3 linked regions of the Neurospora crassa OR74A genome follow. The protein of the gene in region 1 interacts with the protein of each later gene in a biochemical or structural test. Links are inferred from orthologs where the notes say so. Each region holds a gene or a part of one and is shown in the gene's direction. Other genes may lie near its edges. The genes, in order: vel, NCU08297 and NCU06593.

What was found.
Region 2: of the proteins of vel (region 1) and NCU08297, one has a biochemical effect on the other in vitro, tested with the Saccharomyces cerevisiae proteins (2 studies listed by BioGRID). The link is inferred for Neurospora crassa OR74A from reciprocal best matches to the Saccharomyces cerevisiae genes CLA4 and CDC3.
Region 3: the proteins of vel (region 1) and NCU06593 interact in a test that uses a peptide from one of them, tested with the Saccharomyces cerevisiae proteins (3 studies listed by BioGRID, with this or other methods). The link is inferred for Neurospora crassa OR74A from reciprocal best matches to the Saccharomyces cerevisiae genes CLA4 and BEM1.

What each region holds. Positions count from the first base shown.
Region 1 is NC_026503.1:3,746,416-3,750,589, forward strand, and holds the start of vel (protein kinase CHM1), read left to right. Parts: upstream 1-1,374; 5' UTR 1,375-1,967; intron 1,968-2,038; 5' UTR 2,039-2,162; coding exon 2,163-2,176; intron 2,177-2,379; coding exon 2,380-4,174. UniProt on the Saccharomyces cerevisiae protein: Involved in budding and cytokinesis.
Region 2 is NC_026504.1:2,498,487-2,504,482, forward strand, and holds the end of NCU08297 (cell division control protein 3), read left to right. Parts: intron 1-295; 5' UTR 296-397; coding exon 398-401; intron 402-1,143; coding exon 1,144-1,410; intron 1,411-1,465; coding exon 1,466-1,932; intron 1,933-1,985; coding exon 1,986-2,624; 3' UTR 2,625-3,816; downstream 3,817-5,996. Other genes in the region: NCU08296 (mito ribosomal protein S4), read right to left, coding at 4,335-5,171, 5,274-5,753, 5,942-5,986. UniProt on the Saccharomyces cerevisiae protein: Septins are GTPases involved in cytokinesis that assemble early in the cell cycle as a patch at the incipient bud site and form a ring approximate 15 minutes before bud emergence, which transforms into an hour-glass shaped collar of cortical filaments that spans both sides of the mother-bud neck.
Region 3 is NC_026504.1:1,740,274-1,748,050, reverse strand, and holds NCU06593 (MAP kinase activator), read left to right. Parts: upstream 1-2,760; 5' UTR 2,761-3,993; coding exon 3,994-3,999; intron 4,000-4,385; coding exon 4,386-4,481; intron 4,482-4,539; coding exon 4,540-5,280; intron 5,281-5,338; coding exon 5,339-6,214; 3' UTR 6,215-7,219; downstream 7,220-7,777.

The sequences.
Region 1 (4,174 bases):
CGGAACACTAGGTCCCTCAAGAATGCCCGTATCCGCATTCCGCAGCGGGAAAACAAGACCAGAAACCCTTGAATTCTTCAAAGTTGTCTTGGTCGAACCGTTCGTATCATCTCCGTTGCTTTTGCTGCTGAACGTGATCCATGTGTTAATTGACGACGTACGATGACCCTCGTCTAAAAGCTGAGACTTATCTGTCGGTTGATCGTAGCGGCATAACACGGTCGGACTAGTGGCAGAGATTCTCCAGGGTGTTTAAGATTGGTGTCTTGTACCGTCGAGATCTGTCCACATCGGACCCGAACACCTCAGCGGGACCGGACGAGAGGTTGGTGGTGAATGAAGCGTTTAAAGTAATGACGGCTTTACCTCTCTGACAAAGAAGGTAGCACCCAATATCTTTGAGACCACACAAAGGTCAGGGTGTTCAGAACGAGTTTATGGGTATCTGTACGCCTGTGCTGCGAGAGCCTTACGACGGCGGACAGCATATAGGACCGGGAAGGGAATAACTGCAGAGATATTTGGGATGGACTCCCCAATCGTTATTTACAACTTCATAGGTCCCAGACTGGCGCAGAGCATATCAATTTCCATTGCAATGAACTCCAGGCTTCCCCGGTGGCCGGACGTTTCTTTCTTCTTTTACCATGCCGCTGGTGCGTAAAGTCGATATAAAAAATAAGAAAAAAACGGAAAAGCCAATAAGCCGCGTTAAGACGGTACCTGCGCGCTAGGCACAAAATGTGTTGCATAAGCAAGTATCTCGGCATCCATCCGAGCCAAGGCAGTAAGATGAAGACGTACCCGTTCTCAAGTCTGCAATGGATCTGACTGGTCGCGGCGCTGTCCCCCCCCCCTTTCCCGCCGCAGTCTTGGTTACTCTGCCACTTCCACACGTTGGCGCACTGCATCTGCCCCGTTCCCCACTATTCTCACGCTAACCGTCCAAGGCTTCAACGTTCAATGGTCGCTCGAACGGGTGCCGCAGCTGTAACTGACGGTTTGATGGACCCTTACAATGCCCCTGCTCCCACTCTTGGATCCGACCGGGCATTCAACTTGCTGTGGTGAGAGATGTTCAGCGCAAAGAGGAGACAGTAGGGCATCTGGACGGCATCTCACCCGTATCGCTAACTGTTGTTGTTCCTGGGTTGAGCGTCTGGACCATAGGTCGTAGGTAGGTAAGGTAGTTAGGTATGGATGGTATATGTGAGGTGGGTAGGTACCTACTGCGTAGAGGTAGTGTACTGTCCCCTCGTTGGTTGTTGTAGAAGATGGGATCACCCAAGTACCAGAAGAAAGACACCACAACCTGGATGCACCAAAACCTCGACCGGGATCCCAGGACCCTTACACGTTTTTGCCCCATACAGGCAATAATACCAGTAGTGTACCCCTTACTACTGCAACCTCACACAGCGCCGGCCTGGAGTCCTTGCCAACCCCTTTCGACTCTGCTCATCTTTCTTTCAACTCCGAGCGTGGTCTCTCATCTTGCCCTTTGACACCCGCCAGCCTGTCTCCGTTGATCACCGGCGTCAAGGATAACGCAGATTCGCGAACCAGACAGGCAATCGTCTGGCCTGACCGCCATCGCATCGTTCGGCTTTCTGTCTTCCATTCACTACAGCAGCCAGCACCAGCACCAGCAATACACAGCATTGCGACGAGGCGTGCTTTGAACCTTCCGTGGCATCCAACTAAAGAAACAAAAAGTAATCGAGCCAGGACCGCAAATACATGTCGCCCTGGTCGCCTGTTGGTCTTGCTCGAACGCGCCTGAACCGACCCTCTCCTTGGTCGCTGCTTCTCCCCTGTCGCAATCGACTCGCTTAGTCCTTTTCTAACTCAAACCCACCTGTGCCAACTGACCACCTATACCATCACCGTTTGATACTGGTCCATTCTTTTAGTACACATTGCGCCTTGTCTTTCGGACGGAGCCGGCTTCATCTTTGGGCCTCCTGGTGCGTTGGCGACCCTGCCACCATATGCGCAACCCCGCCTTTCGAACCGTCTATTGACCCGGCGACAATAGGAAGCACACCCGTCACACTCCAGGTCCCGCAACTCAGGGGATCGTCGCGACTACGCGCAGTCTATTTCTGGCTCCAGAACAACCAGACCTATCTCTAGTCAAGGAGTAACTGGAATCCGGCACAATGGCGCAAAATGGGTATGCCCGCCCTCTGCTATGCTTCTCCCACTTCGCCCCAACCACGCAAATCTCTCCTCTCCCACATGACATCTCGCTCCCGCTACTTGGTCAATTTCCCTAGTGGAGCTTCGCTTCATTACCTTGGCCCATCTTCATTCCTTCCCCTGTTGGAAATCTAGCAGGGTCCGTGGACATTATGCTAACCTCGACCTGAACCACAGCAACATATACTCGAGGGAGCCGTTCATGAACCCAGGCCCAGCGCCGCGACCTCCCACGGACAAGCCCCGCCTCGGCCTCACCCCCAACACCAATTCACCCGGGAACATCTCCAACCTTCCTGGGAACATGTCCAACCTGAGCCTCCGGTCGCCTGCCCCAGGGGTAACTAGTACATACAGCGGCTCGACCATCGCCCTCCCCATCCAAAGACAAATGTCAAACAACGACGGCACCGGCGGCCTTGCCGTCATCAAGCAAGGTTGGGCCAGTGTCAAGGAGAGCAAGAACTTCATCAACCCTTGGAAGAACAAGTACCTGATCCTACGAAAGGAGTCACTGGATTTCCACAAGGCCGAGAGCAGTAAAGTTGCCTATACCCTCTACCTCAAGGACGTTATCAATGTCGGCCGTGTGGAGGCCGCAGGAACCATTTTCGAGATCAAGAGGCAGTCTAGCGGTGCCTCCACGAGTCCCGGAGAGGAGGAAAATGGCATCAGGACCCTTCAGATCCGCGTGAAGGCCGACGACGACCTTTATGAATGGATTGACTTTATTTACGCGCGTTGCCCAGGCATGGGCGGTGTCAGTAATCCTACCAACTTTTCGCATGCCGTTCACGTCGGATTCGATCCCCAGACCGGCGAGTTCGTCGGCCTGCCTCCTGAGTGGTCGAAGCTGCTCAACTCTTCAGCCATTACCCAAGAAGACTACGAAAGGAACCCTCAAGCCGTCTTTGAAGTCCTCGATTTCTATTCCGATTTCAACAAGAATGGCGGCCAAGCGCCCACACCCAACTTTCCCACTCCCCCATCGAACAGCGCACAGAGCAAGCAGCTCGGATACCCGAGCGGTGGAAACTCCGTCGCGCCGCCGCGCCCTACGCAGCCGTTGCAACAACGCAACCCAAGCTCCAACTACCCATCCTCGCCGCAGCAGCAAGGTGGCACCAGTTCTCGCTCATCACCCCCCGAGCAGCGCCAGCAGGCGTCGCCGAGCTACAACTCTGAGCGCGCGAGAGAGGAGCAAAGGCGCGAACTGGAGCGCCAGCAGAGAGAGATGGAGGAGCGGGATCGCCGGGATCAGGAAGCTTATAATGCGTCCCTTCCCAAGACGAAGACTCCTATGGCTCAGCAGGAGATTGGAGGTGGTGGTTATGGTGGTGCCGATCGCTTCAACCCAACACGCGCCGCTCCACCAGCACCCAAGGGCTTGCAGCAAGCACCGAGTCTCAAAGCTCAGAGACCTGCGCCTCCCCCACCAAGTTCCAGTTCGAGCCGCCCGCCCGTCGCACAGCAGTCCAGTTCCAGCTCACAGCGTGATCTTGCCCAGGCGCAGGCGCAGAGACGGGCCGAACAGCAGGCTCAGGCGCAACGGAGCCAGAACGGCCAGGCCCCGCCACGACCACCTCACCCATCGGCCAACCAGCCATCCAAGATTCCTACGACCGTGAAGCCGCTTAACGTGGGTCCCAAGCAGCCTCAAGATGGCGTCAAGGCCGCTGAAGCAGCCCTTACGTCCAAGCCCGCTGCTTCTGAGCGTTCCAAGGATGTTCGCATGTCGACCATGTCGGAGAAGGAGGTTATGCAGAAGCTAAGGGAAGTTGTGTCTCACGAAGACCCCGAAGCCAAGTACTCCAAGCAGAAGAAGATCGGACAGGGTGCCTCTGGCTCCGTGTACGTCGCCAAGATCAGGGAGAGACCGGGCCAGGATCCCAACGTTTCCAGAAGACGCGGCCAGGTTGCAATCAAGCAGATGGATCTCGCGCACCAGCCGCGCAAGGAGTTGATCGTGAAC
Region 2 (5,996 bases), on another chromosome or scaffold:
GGCTCTGTTGCTACTGCCCCAACCTGCCGGTATCTCGTGCTCTTCGTCGTCACAAGCCCCCCTCATAGTTGCCGCTGGGCTGCGCCGATACGAGCAGCCACTCCAGCCAGCCCGTTTGCCTCCACCGCAATCCACGTTGGGGTTTTAGGTGGTGTCGGTGCTGGTAGTACCGGACTCGCACTGCAGGGCACTTGACGAGTGGGCGGTAGCCGTCTGCACGGAGAAGGAGGAAGACACATGCCGGGTGCAATTCAGCTTCCATCTCAATGACTGACGCTATTCGTTTACCTTCCAGACTTCGCGCCTTCCTTACGATCCCGAATTTTTTTACCTTTTTCATCAACCGTTCACTTCTCGACTCGACCGAAACATCACCATCACGGTACCTTCTGCTATAATGGGTAAGCGCTTGCTTTCTGTCCTCTACTTAACCTGCCCATTCGACCAAGCCGCAGGAAGCATCGCCGGATCACCGACCTCCTCGTACCTTACTCTACGGTCCAAGGGCTCAACAAAACCCGACTCAACGCCGCCCTTCGCCGACTTTTCATCTCCCTTCCCCCCACCAACATCACAGCTCGTTCTTCTGATACGATCATCACATTCGTTGTCCGCTTGCCATCTACCGTTTCTTGGGAACCGTCTTTTTTTTGGAAGAGAACCATCTTACCACCCAAATACTTTGTTCAAACGACTCCGCTGCAATGCATTTCGCTACCATGATGCACAATGCCACCCGGGGCCGCGCCAAAAGTGTTCAGTTTGAGAAGAGCTTCGCCAGTCTCGCTGAAACCATCGATGGAAGCGCCTCGCGGGATGGTCCCGTGTCCCCCGTTTCCGTCTCCGGAACACGGACCAGCAGTTTGCCCCTTGGGGAGAACAACGAGATGATCAAGAAGGCTCTACGCCGATACAAGAGCTTGCTGGAAATCGAGGACCCGGCCCCGACGTTGCCAATGACCCAACAATTCTCATACGACGAGCTATATCCCAAGGCTACGGATCCGACTGTGTCCCAGGAGCCATTACCGAAGCGGCCTTTATCCTCTAGTAGTTGAGAGCTCCGCGCACTTGACTGGACATACATTACATACTTTTGGGCACAAGATGATGGATATCATGCTAACGTTGGCTCTATGACAGCTTCGAACGGTATTCCCACCTCTCCTCCTGTTAGGGCGGCTCCCGTACCTCAGTCATCGACTTCCCAGCCATTGCCATCTCAGACGAAACAACATCAAGATGCTTCTGGTTCTGACACCGTGGCCGCAGCTCTCCCTTCTACCTTGAGCGACAACCGAAACATTGTCCGAAGGAAGCTGACGGGATACGTTGGTTTCGCCAACCTTCCCAACCAATGGCACCGCAAGAGCGTCCGCAAGGGCTTCAACTTCAATGTCATGGTTGTTGGTATGTGACGCTTTCTGTGTCCATTGAAGGAGATTTACTAATTCTAGACATGCAGGTGAATCGGGACTCGGAAAGTCGACCCTCGTTAACACTCTCTTTAACACTTCGCTTTACCCTCCCAAGGAGCGCAAGGGACCTAGCCTCGACATTGTTCCCAAGACTGTCACCATTCAGTCTATCAGCGCCGATATTGAAGAGGCTGGTGTTCGCCTCCGTTTGACCGTCGTTGACACTCCTGGCTTCGGCGACTTTGTCAACAACGACGAGTCTTGGCGTCCTATTGTGGACAACATCGAACAGCGCTTCGATGCTTACTTGGATGCCGAAAACAAGGTGAACCGCATGAACATTGTGGACAACAGGATCCATGCCTGTGTGTTCTTCATCCAGCCCACCGGTCACTCGCTCAAGCCTCTTGATATCGAGGTCATGAAGCGTCTCCACACCAAGGTCAACTTGATTCCCGTCATCGCCAAGTCGGATACTCTCACCGATGACGAGATTGCTGCTTTCAAGGCTAGAGTATGTCTTCGGGCCCTACTGGTTCTGCGATCAATACTAACAGTTTATCATAGATTCTTGCGGATATCAAGTACCACAAGGTGCAAATCTTTGAGGGCCCTCGCTACGAACTCGACGATGAGGAGACCATCGCGGAGAACAACGAGATCATGTCCAAGGTCCCCTTCGCTGTTGTCGGTGCGACCAACGAGATCACAAACGCCGATGGCCGTAAGGTTCGCGGTCGCCGTTACCCTTGGGGTGTGATCGAGGTGGACAATGAGGAGCATTGCGACTTTGTGAAGCTCCGCCAGATGCTCATCCGTACTCACATGGAGGAGCTCAAGGAGCACACCAACAACGTCCTTTACGAGAACTACCGCACGGACAAGTTGATCGCTATGGGCGTCTCTCAAGATCCAAGCGTCTTCAAGGAGGTGAACCCAGCCGTCAAGCAGGAGGAAGAGCGCGCCCTCCACGAACAGAAGCTTGCGAAGATGGAAGCCGAAATGAAGATGGTCTTCCAGCAAAAGGTTGCTGAAAAGGAATCCAAGCTGAAGCAGAGCGAAGAGGAGCTGTATGCTCGTCATAGGGAGATGAAGGAGCAGCTGGAGCGCCAACGACTGGAGCTCGAGGAGAAGAAGTCCCGAATCGAAAGTGGGCGGCCAATTGAGAAGGAGCCGACAAAGAGGAAGGGATTTTCTCTCCGATAATTTTGCGGCAACAACTTCACCCGCCTCTCACGACTGTTGTACTGTCATGTTATCCCGCATACACCTCGGCCTGCCGCTTCATTCCTTCATTCTCTGTTTTCCATTTGTTCATCTTCTAATCATAACCTCCTAATCCTGCGGGAGGATCCCCTCGCAAGCCAACAGTCTCTTTGCAGATCCCTTCATAACCGGATGGGTTTCTGTTAGAAATTTGTTGGCTGCCGTAAACGGTCAAATTTCCAAAAGCCGGTGTGTTCCGTCGTTGGGACGGGGTGCGGTCCGGTCGACTTTGTTCTTGAAAAGCTAATGCAGATGTAATTGGGCCGGAGGAGCTTTTTCGAGAATCTCTTACTTCACAATGGCAGCATGGTTCCAACAGATATATCCTCTTATCTGCTTTAGGGAGTTGAGTTCCGAAAATATGAGGGAGAAGAAAGAGAGATAATTCGTTGGCTGTTCCCCATCAGATGTTTGCGGCGCAGCAGCAATCAGGCCCTCAACTCCCTTTCGCGGCTCTGCTTGCCCTTGTCTTCTTGACCGACTGTCGGCAACATCATGTTTCCGGCTGCCACCATGACTGACAAGTCGGTTAGGATGCTGTGGCTGGCGGGAGCGAGGAGCAATTCACAACCGAGAAGCTCATAGAGGGATCAGAAGGAGTCGGGTTTGAATTGTGCTCGCGACGTTGCACCATATGCAAGTTGCAAAGGGGGCGTAAGGGAACAGGCGGGAAATCTCACTTGGACGAAAAGCAACGAACGACCAGATATCCCAACAACACATGTATTTTATTAACTGCTTTCATCGGCGATCAGATGTTTTTATTTCACGGGGAATTCTTGTAGGAGGTTTTTCTTTTCACGGTTTACGGTCGGTCATACCCAACCCAACATTTCCGGCCGATTCTCTCAACTGGTGCTTCGCTCTCCAGCCACGGAGGGTTCTTGCTTACCACATAAAACATACACACACTCAACGTACACTTAGCCTCTCCTAGATAGTTATTTCTTAGCCTTTTTCTCTCTCGCGCTCTCAAGGCGAATTTTGCCGTCTTCCTCAGTGATAAGTGTTTACCTTTGCACTGCTCCTCTCGATCGACAATGCTATGATTGGCAATTTTACTATATAAGCACTGAGCTTTCAGAGAGGAGACCGTAGGTGTCTCGGTGGTTCTCATCTGTCTCATGACTTTCTTACGCAAAGAAGAAGGAAATTTGTCTATGCCCCTCTTTATATCCATTTAGTTAATAGTGGTAATGATACATGTAGCGTACATCGATGCCGAAGGGGGCGAACTGAATGAGTCTGCAACAGATTGTTCGGGTATTGAGGAACGAACAAACTGTTACGCGCAATGTGCCCAAAATACGTATGAAGTCAACTCATCTCATGCATGATCCATCCCCGTCTCCTTTTTCTCCGGGAATCGCGAGATTTGCCGCCCACTTCGCAGCTTTCTCATCGAGACCGAACCCGATTTCCAACGCATGGTCCAACTGAAGCCGCAGCAGGTGCAGAGTATCACATCATCCGAGGTTGCCTTGAAGATGCAACAAGCACAATAGAGCGTACCCGCGACATGCAAAAAACTGGGTGCGCGCGACTCTAATCGTCCATTGGCGAATTCTACCGCTCTGAGACGGCAGAGAGTGACTGCCGTTCCTCCCTCCATCTCCCCTTTTCATTCCCTCGCTCCTAACTAGACCTCCTTTAACCTCTCCGTAAGTACCAGTTGAACGCGAGTTGGTTGATAGTGGGGGAGAAAGGCGACGGTACTTCGGACTCGCCCGGGCGCGCCACGGGGTGGCGGAGGTAGACGGCCGCGCAGATGTTCTGGTTGACCTCAAGGTAGCGGGGGATGAACGCGAAAGCGGACATGTAGTTGCGCGGCCTCCAGGGGGTCATGTACGGCTTGCTCGGGTCGATCTCGTTGTCCTCGTGCTCGTCGTTGTACTCGATCACCTTCTTGAGCACCTGGCGCGACTGCTTGTCAAGCTTCTTGCTCAGCTCCTTGGCCGCCTCCTCCTGCTGAATGGCCTTGGAAGGGGAGACCGCAAGGCGCTCGAGAAGCATCGTCAGGTCGTCCACCACGTTACCGGTTGGCGAAACGGACCCGTCGCGCCGCTGCGCTTGCTTGATGGCGGCCTTGATGTCGCGCTTCAAAGCGCGCAATGCTTGCTTGCGCGTCGCGGAGAGCTGGTGAGACGGCGAGTCGGCGATGTGCTTGGCGTACTGCAGCAGACGTTGGAGCTGCAGGAGTTCGTACTTGCGGTTCCAGGCCTCGTCGAACTTGGAGGTGTCGACTTGCTTCTCCTTCTTGCCGGACTTGGAGGCTGCTTCTTGTGCCTCTCCTTCCTCGGCCTCCTCGGCCTCCGCATCCTTCTCTTCGGCGGCTTCCTGTGCTTCCTCCGCAAGCTCCTTCTTGGCGGCCTTCATAGCCGCGGCGAGGAGCTTCTTGTCCTTGGGCGCACCGGTCGCATAGAGGACGCGCTCGACGTCGACTTGGAAGAGATCGCCAGGGTTCAGGAGGTAACCGGGGTGTTTCATCTGCAAAAGGATCGGGTAATGTTAGCGCCGAAACAAGCAGCTTTGGCATGGGTGCACTGTATTGTGGGATTCGGTATTGGAACGTTGTGATGGTGTACATGCCTTCTTGCCGTTGACGGTGACGGCACCGTGCACAACCATCTGGCGGGCCTGTCTCGCACTGCTGGCAAAGAGGGCTCTGAATATGGCGATATCGAGGCGTCTCTCGAGAGGCGCAAAGGTCATTTGCTCGTACGGCGTGGGAACCTTCCTGCCCGGGTTGGCGATGACTTGCTTGGCAGGTTTCTCGTCGGCGGTCTTCTCGTAGGCTGGGGGCTCTGAGAGGCCGGAACCGCGGCCGGCGGCTTGTTCGCTGCCGTTATATTTGGCCATGTATGCCGGGTCCATGTTGACGACGGCCGGTAGGCGACGGCTAAACATGCGCGCCCATTTGCGTTCCTTGATGTGCTCGCCGTGGTATGCTCGTGTCAAGGACTTGGCGAGCCATTTCTGCTGGAAGAATGTCTTGCCGCTGATTCTGGGTTCTCTCCCGGCCGTAGCCAGGTTGTACAGGTTATATTTGTTCCATGTCGGCCTGATGGGCTATTCGGAAGAAGAAGAAGCGCACACAAAATACGTCAGCATGATCGCGTGTGGTGGGTGTTGAGTGTCGTGGCAATGGGACTGGCAGGTAGTAGGTAATGGGGCGAATGGGGTGATGATGCGGCGGCGGCGACGATGACCAACGGCAAACCCGGCGACGGCGGCATAAAACACCGAATAGCACATACCTTTTTCTTCAAACTGTGGTACTTGAACAACCTCCGGATCTTCATGTTGGGTGTG
Region 3 (7,777 bases), on another chromosome or scaffold:
GCAGTCCGACTTACCTTTTCAGCTAGTTCCTTCAGGACAGGCGCAGATCCTGTTCTTCAATGTCATTTGCCAGCATCAGGTCAACCTAATTGACCTCAAACGTGGTTGAGGCGTGCAGTATTCGAATCTGCCTACTCTACTCAAAAATGGAGACGTAATATCCACCGTTTTCGGAACCCATTCTCGGTGGACAGGATGATAGATGGCGTCTTCGCACATCGACCCCCTTCTTTCCCGATCAATGTGTCTTGCCGGAGGATCTCGACGTGTCGGCTCACGGGGTCTCTTGTTTTAGCAAGCATTAGGGTCATGCGGAGGTGACCTTTGGCGACGTGGAAGCAGCAGCATTAGTTGCTATGGTGCTGTAGTGGCACCCTGCTCTCCTTCTATGCGTCCTTACAGGCACCGCTCTCTTATTCAACAATTTTTCAGTATCCCTTGCGTTCCGGTGTCGGCATCTTTGGGTGGTGGTTTGGGTCAGCGAGCATAGGGTTTTGGCGTCTCGGGGTGTCAAAACTGCTTGCATTTGTCCCTTGTCTTTTTTTCTTTGTTCCTTCTTCATGCTAGTACAGGTAACTCAGGTGTTTGGCGTTAAGGGAACAATGCTAAGAGCAGGGAGGTTGAGTGGGCATGTCTTACAGTTAGCAAAATAAGAACGTACTTAGTGAGCTCCAGCACACAACACAGTCATATTGTGCGCCGTCGATATCGATGCCATCCTTGTTGTCTTTTGAGTCAGAGTACGGGGAGCCGGAGGCCAACACAATCGGCCGCGCATCATAATCAATGGTGGAAAAGGGTCGGGTCCTTCGACTTCTGCCCGCATTGCAAGCAGATGTGACGAACCTCCATGCTACGCGTTTGCTTCTTGATGCAGTTGCTAACTTAACCTTGGGTCGAATTGAAGCGGTGGCTGGTGAGGCGAAAGATAGACACCATACCATGTGGAAAAAGGAAAAATACCACGCTGCCTCATTGCTTACAGGTGCGCCAGCGGGCATCCCGGCCCGTCGTGTGCTCCTCGCGTCACATCCCGATTGGTCAAACCTCGTGCATGTACGTAGAAGTCGTGCATCGATAAATGGAAAGAGGGTTGAAACCATTGCCATGGAAAACATGGCAATTGGCGGCTTTTCTTGGGCGTTGTTCATGTCCAATAGAGAGGGTGAAGATGTTGAGTATTCGAAGGACGTCCGTCCACTTGCACTATTCTCGTGTTTATGATTCCCTCTAGGAGCTCGCATATTATTGTTGTGGCCAGAATGAGATGAACATGATACAAAGGCCGAACAGAAACCCCGAAATGACAAAAAGTGAGATTTGTTAAGCAAAAGAATAAGAAAAGAAAGAAAAAACTGGATCGGTTAATGCCCAGATTCCAAAATCGGGAGCTTTGCGGCAGAGCCCTACCAGGCCGTTACAGTGCTGTCTCTATCGAGTCTAGACGCCAATGCTCCTTGTTCGCTGTTGGGTTGGGTTGTTCTGATTAGTCAGGCACAGGCCGCGGAGCTTCATCCGAAATACCCCGAGACCGAGAACCGATATCTACCTAAAATTTGATCGCGATGCTTTTTGCTGCACCAATGAAGGAGATTCGGACTGTGTAGAATGAATCTGCCAAACATAGGTAGATCTGAAAATCCCGAGCTAAGTCGCCATCAGAAGGACATATGTCAGCGTCAATCCAGTGATGCTAGTACTAGGCTTTTTCCTACTAGGGGTTGCTTGTGAACCGTCTTGGAGGCCTTGCATTCTATCGAGTCCCCTTCGGCTTTCAAGTCCACCGACGTTATGATGGAGCCCGATGTCAATGCATTGACAAGGTGTGGGCTTTGAACATCTCATGACGCATCGTATGAGTTGATGCACTAACAGCAGGCATATTCCTGCCTCACAGCATCGACTTGTTGTCGACGACGACGCCTTTCAAGTCACTTGGATGGGTAGTGACGGAACAGACTCGAGAATGAAGCAATCAATCCTTCAGTTGAGGTTGGAGAAGTGAGAAAAAATCCTCAGGTACCGTGTCCATAACACCCTGGTTGTCGACTCGACTCAGCAAACCAACCACAGTTTCCGCTATGACAAGCGCGATCACGATGCATATGCAGTGGCTTCAAAGATATGTACAATATCATGCACACTAGCACGCACACATATCTTAGGCCAGGCAATGACAGCGACAAAGATACCAACGGAGAATACCTGAGGGAGCAGCAATCTTAGCTTTTCAATGGCCTCATTGCGCGCGGCTCATCTTTGATCAGATCGTGTAAGACTAGCAAGCTGGTTGGTTTCAGTTGAGATTTGACGTTGGCCGACTTCTTTCATTCGTTTGTCGCAAAGTTCCTGGTCGTATCGCGGTGGGCACGTCCGGAATCCCAAAGATCGAGAGCGGCCAAGAAACAGTGGAGGTACCTAAGAACGAAAGCCAATTCGAATCCACCACAGCCAGGTCCAGGGAGGGTGGGTCCCTCTGGACGTGAGAACCCTGGCGGCGCTCTCCAATTGCACCAACATGCAGGGCAGCAACTGCGCCAATCAACCAGGCCGGGGTGCCTTCAGGTACCTGCCCGCGCGGCCTCTGCGCTGCTGCAACGCTACAATTCCCCTCTTAAGTCGAGGTCCTTGGCCGTCCATTGTCATGCCGATTGTCATGCGGATGCTAACGGCTAGATAGAGGCAGCCACCCTTTCACGGTCAGGACACGGACATAAACTAGCAGACACTAACAGACACTAGGCGAATAAGCAAGCCTGAGTGGCTGTTTTTCCAACATGTTCCATGCCGTCCGTCTCGGCTAGGCTGGTGACTTGCTTGTGACCTTCATCACACCTACCCGCCCGTCTTCGAGCCATCTCCGGCCACCACCTCCACACCCTGTCGGCTTCCACTCTGCGAGAACACACCTGGACCCGACCCTTGGTGATCACCCTTGCTGCTTCCGTTGCAAGCTTGGCTTTGGGCTGTTGCTATCTCCCTTTTTATTATTTTTTTAATGCTATTGCTGCCCGTCCCGAGGACTAGCACGCAAGGCACGCAGGCCATATATCCCACCTGATCCTGATCCTTCCCCGCCACCGTGCAGTTTCCAGTTTCCATTCCCACCTGCCCGTTCGCTCGCTTCGTTCACTCATCACCAGTTCCAACTCTCGACAACCAACCTTCCTACTGCGACAGTCAAGTCCATCATCGCCGACAACACTCGTCGCAACACCCAACGCAACTCCCGGCGGATTGTCCACCACTACTTAGACATTCTAGAAGCGCTCGCCGGACTGGGACTTGCGCATTGAGCATTGGGTCTAGGCAGTCGGCATTGCGGCTGAACAAAGGAACAAGAGAATTGCATCAACACCACACGCCCACACGCCAGGCGGCCCTGATCAGGCTCAGACAAAGACGGAAAGCCAAGATTGAGGCAAACTCGGCCAGACAGCGAACTTGGGGTCAGCTATCCACTTGGGGAACAGAAGTATTGGGGCGCGACCATTTTACACGAAACGGTCGCCGAAATTAGCTGGACAACCGCTGCTTTCCAAATTACGTCTCCCTTACGTTCGCACGGTCGCAAACACTAGTGCAGCAGATAACGACCCCGTCCGCGATATCCACTCCCGTCATCGCCGCGCTGCTTTCCCGGCTCCCATCCGACCGATACATACGGCACATTTGGATCGTTACACAGATTCCACCTAGCAACACCCTCCACGACACACACACACACACACCACACACACGAGCAGAACCGCCCAGGACCAACCCCAGAGGGATCCTAGGCAAGCCCTCTCGCCGTCCGTCATTTGAGTCGGCGTAACCCCAACCACGATTGCCCGCGCACGCCGACACCAGGACGCCCGCTCCAAAAGTTGTTTGCTGACGCCTCTCACCCCGTCAGCCGTTCCTGTTTCTCTCTGTGTATAGCACAATAGTTCCGGTTTTGGTTTGTGTACACATAGCTTACAAGTCGTCTGAGTATCGCTGTCGGACAAGATGAAGGTACGTCATTCCCCGCTGTTCTGTGCTCTGCCATCCCCTCTCTCTTCCCTTCCCCGTCCCTCCTCCTCTTCAGTCCGATCGTTTTTGCTCGTTCCCCAGGAAACAGCCCTCGTGATTGTATAGCAGAGGCTTCACTGCTATTGGGGACATGAGAGATAGGATCGGGCTACGGCTCAGGTATTCATACACCATCACATAGGCGTTCTTGCCTTGGCCAATTCGTCACGATGCAATACAGCTTGCGTGAACCGGAAGAATCCTTTTTCTTAGTGTCTGCTCCATCTACACCCACAGCACCTCTCGAATTTTCTTGGCCTCGTCGGACTACTCATTTCAATACTGCGGTTTCGTCGTTCTGGCAACTAACAATGTCACGCGGTTTTAAGGCTCTACGAAGGTCCATCAAGGGTGGAGAGAAGGACTCCAAACCTCATATTACTATTCAACCGAAATCTGCCGTCGCCATCGTCCCTCCAAAGAAGGTATGTCTCGTAACAAGGTGTCAGCCACAAGGCGCTTAGGCTAAACTTGTTATCACAGGTTATAAAAGCTCTCTACGATTACGAAGCACAAAATGCACAGGAGCTTAGCTTTTCACGCGGCGATTTCTTCCATGTCATCGGTCGTGAAAATGACCCAGAGTGGTATGAGGCGTGCAACCCTGCGCTACCAGACGCTCGTGGTCTCGTGCCCGTCGCTTATTTCCAGGCCCTTGGACGTACGGAACGCGATAGCGGCCAGTCTCAAACCGGTTCACTGGGTTTGAAGACCGTAGATAGTGATTCTGGATACGGCGAAGGCTCGGCGGCCTCGCCTCCTGGAGCAAACGCCGCGAATCGGATGTCGAAAACGCCTGGCAAGAATGGAGCCATGGTTTATGGTGTCGTTTTGTACGATTTCCAAGCCGAACGGGCAGACGAATTGGAAGCCAAGCAGGGCGAGGCCATCATTGTCATTGCCCAGTCGAACCCCGAATGGTTCGTGGCTAAGCCCATCGGAAGACTTGGCGGCCCGGGTCTGATTCCCGTATCCTTTGTTGAGATCCGGGACATGGCGAGTAACACCCCTGTCCCGAACCCCCATGATGCCATACGAAAAGCTGGGATTCCAAAGGTCGAGGAGTGGAAGAAGATGGCTGCGGAATATAAGAACTCGAGCATAACGCTCGGCAAGTTCGATGTTGGTGGTGGCGGTGGTGGCCAACCACCACTTGACCAGGCCATGAACCGCTTAACTTTGCAAGGAAGCGCCCGGTTGAGCCAGCAGACTACTCATACCCAGGTACGTGTATTCTGTCCACTTACTTTGCGTGCGTGTTTGTACTAACAGGTCTTTGCAGCAACAGATACAGGCTCAAGGACAATCCTATTCGAGGCCAACCTCGACACTATACGCACCCATCGCAGCCAGGGTTCCGAGGTACTGCTTTGCCGAGGACAAGTACTGGTTTGTTATTGAAGCCGAACTGGAGGATGGTCGATGCTTCGAACTTTCGCGATACTACGAGGATTTCTACGACTTCCAAATCGCGCTCCTAACCGAGTTCCCTCTTGAAGCTGGAACTACAGGCGGCAAGCAGCGGACGCTACCCTACATGCCCGGTCCTGTTAATTACGTGACTGATGCGATTACGGAAGGCCGCCGCCACAACCTTGACTCTTACGTTAAAAGTCTACTGGAACAACCGCCACACATCTCCCGCTGTAACCTGGTCAAGCAGTTCTTTTCTCCTAGAGAGGGTGATTACGAAATCGACCCTAGCGTTGCTCGCGAGGAATACCGATTCTCTGGAGGCTCTGGTCCGTCCTCTGACTCACCAGCCGACGGCCTCTCACTACAGAGCACAGCCGGCAACAGATATTCTGCCGGTCTCGGTGTTCCTCAGAGGCAGCTGAGCATTGGCAACGGCCAACAGATTCCGGGACCTGGGCAGGCTTCACAGACCTCATTGTCACCTGCTATTATGCAGGGTGGTTCACAGATGAAAGTGAAACTGCACTTCAACGGCGACATCATCGCCATCCGCGTACCCACTGATATTCCATTCCAAGCTCTCCATGACAAGATTCTGGATCGTCTCAAGATTCCTCAGGGCGAGGACGTTCAGCTAAGTTACAAGGACGACGCGAGTGGCGAGAAGCCTCCTCTGATGAACGACGAAGATCTGGATATTGCACTGCAACGGAACGAAAAGCTGCTCGTTTACGTGGAATAATGGACTGACGGACTTTGAAACCCCAACCCATACACGTTTGTTGGCCATATTCCGATACACAGCGCATTCGGATACCATGGTCACATGCGCCATGTTTCACGAACATTTGATTCGAAGGCAGCAACTGGGTAAACTAAGCGCTCGGCCTTCAAAAGTCACGCCAGATGGCTACATACACAAGCAAGGCGAACAACGTGGAGGGAATTGCTCATTTGCGCACTCAGTTACATACCATCTTTTCTCGTTGACGGCTGCCAACAAACTGCTCTTTATCCAACACACAATGCGATATCTATACCCCACGCTATATACCCAAACGCATACGTAAATCATATAGGACTTCGCGGTTCAGTCGTTGTAATACATTTCGAATTGATCGGCTCGTCTCTCTCCACTCACTAAAATTTCTGGGACGCAGATGGTCATGGGGCATTTTGGATGCGGCAGGGACTTTGGGATACGGTGATATTTTTTTGGAACAGCTCAGGAGTCAGGCCAAAGGAGTCTGTGACCATGGTGAAAAAAAGGAAGGAAGTAGAGTCAGGGGAGGATCTGCGCGCTTGCTGGAAGGCTGCGGTGGGGCCAAGTTGGGAGATGGATTCTTGGTTAGGCGTGGGGGAGGGTGGAAGGATTAAATTTGATACCAAACTACGTTGCTACTCGAGGTCGAAGATGGGTGGTGGATTACCATAAGAAGAGGTGGTGGAGGTGGTAATGGTGGTGCTGAGGGTGATGACAAGGGACAAGAAGAAGAAGAAGGGGCCCTTGTGAATGGATGATGAATGAAATGAATTTACACCCACAGGCTTTTTGTGTTTCAGGATGTTGACCGAGATGGCGGGGGACACGGGGTATCGTTTCTGCAGTGTAGGTGAGATTTGAAGATATCCATGTGCAGTCAAGGTGTTTTTGGTAATAAAAAAATTGGGAGCGAAAGATGACCGGAGAAAAGAGAGTAGTGGTGGTCTACTCGCAGCCAGTAAGTAGCATAAATCTACATTTGAAGATATCGCGACTTCCGATAATTGCATGTGACATCTGCTATACAATGTCATTGGAAGTTGAATAAATGCACAATTACGGCAAATGCCAAGCCCATCGAAAACATACATCGCATTCTTGTTCTGGTAAAGGAAGCAATGGTAACAATGACACTTCCACAACAATCAGTCAAAGTTCGTTACATATTTACAAAGTTGGAAGTAACGAAGTCGATGCCGTTTCACACTACCAATGTAATGCTTGTAAGTCAACCAGCCCGAAGGCCAGATCTAGGAAATTCTTACTGAAAAGCATACAGAAATGCAATATACGTCCCCAACTAATAACTCCGAGGCTCACATATCACCTATGAAAAGTGAGTTGGGCGTACAACGAACCGTATACCCCTGCTCCCCTGCTAAAAAAAAAAATTGACACCTGAAACGCCAGTTGCAATCCACCAGAGTCCCAAAGTAGACATAGCGATACCTGGAATGCCAGGATAAATATGGCTGACTGACTGTTGCCCAACAAGACAGACATATTTAGTAATGAAGCAAACAAAACGAGAAAAAAATGAAA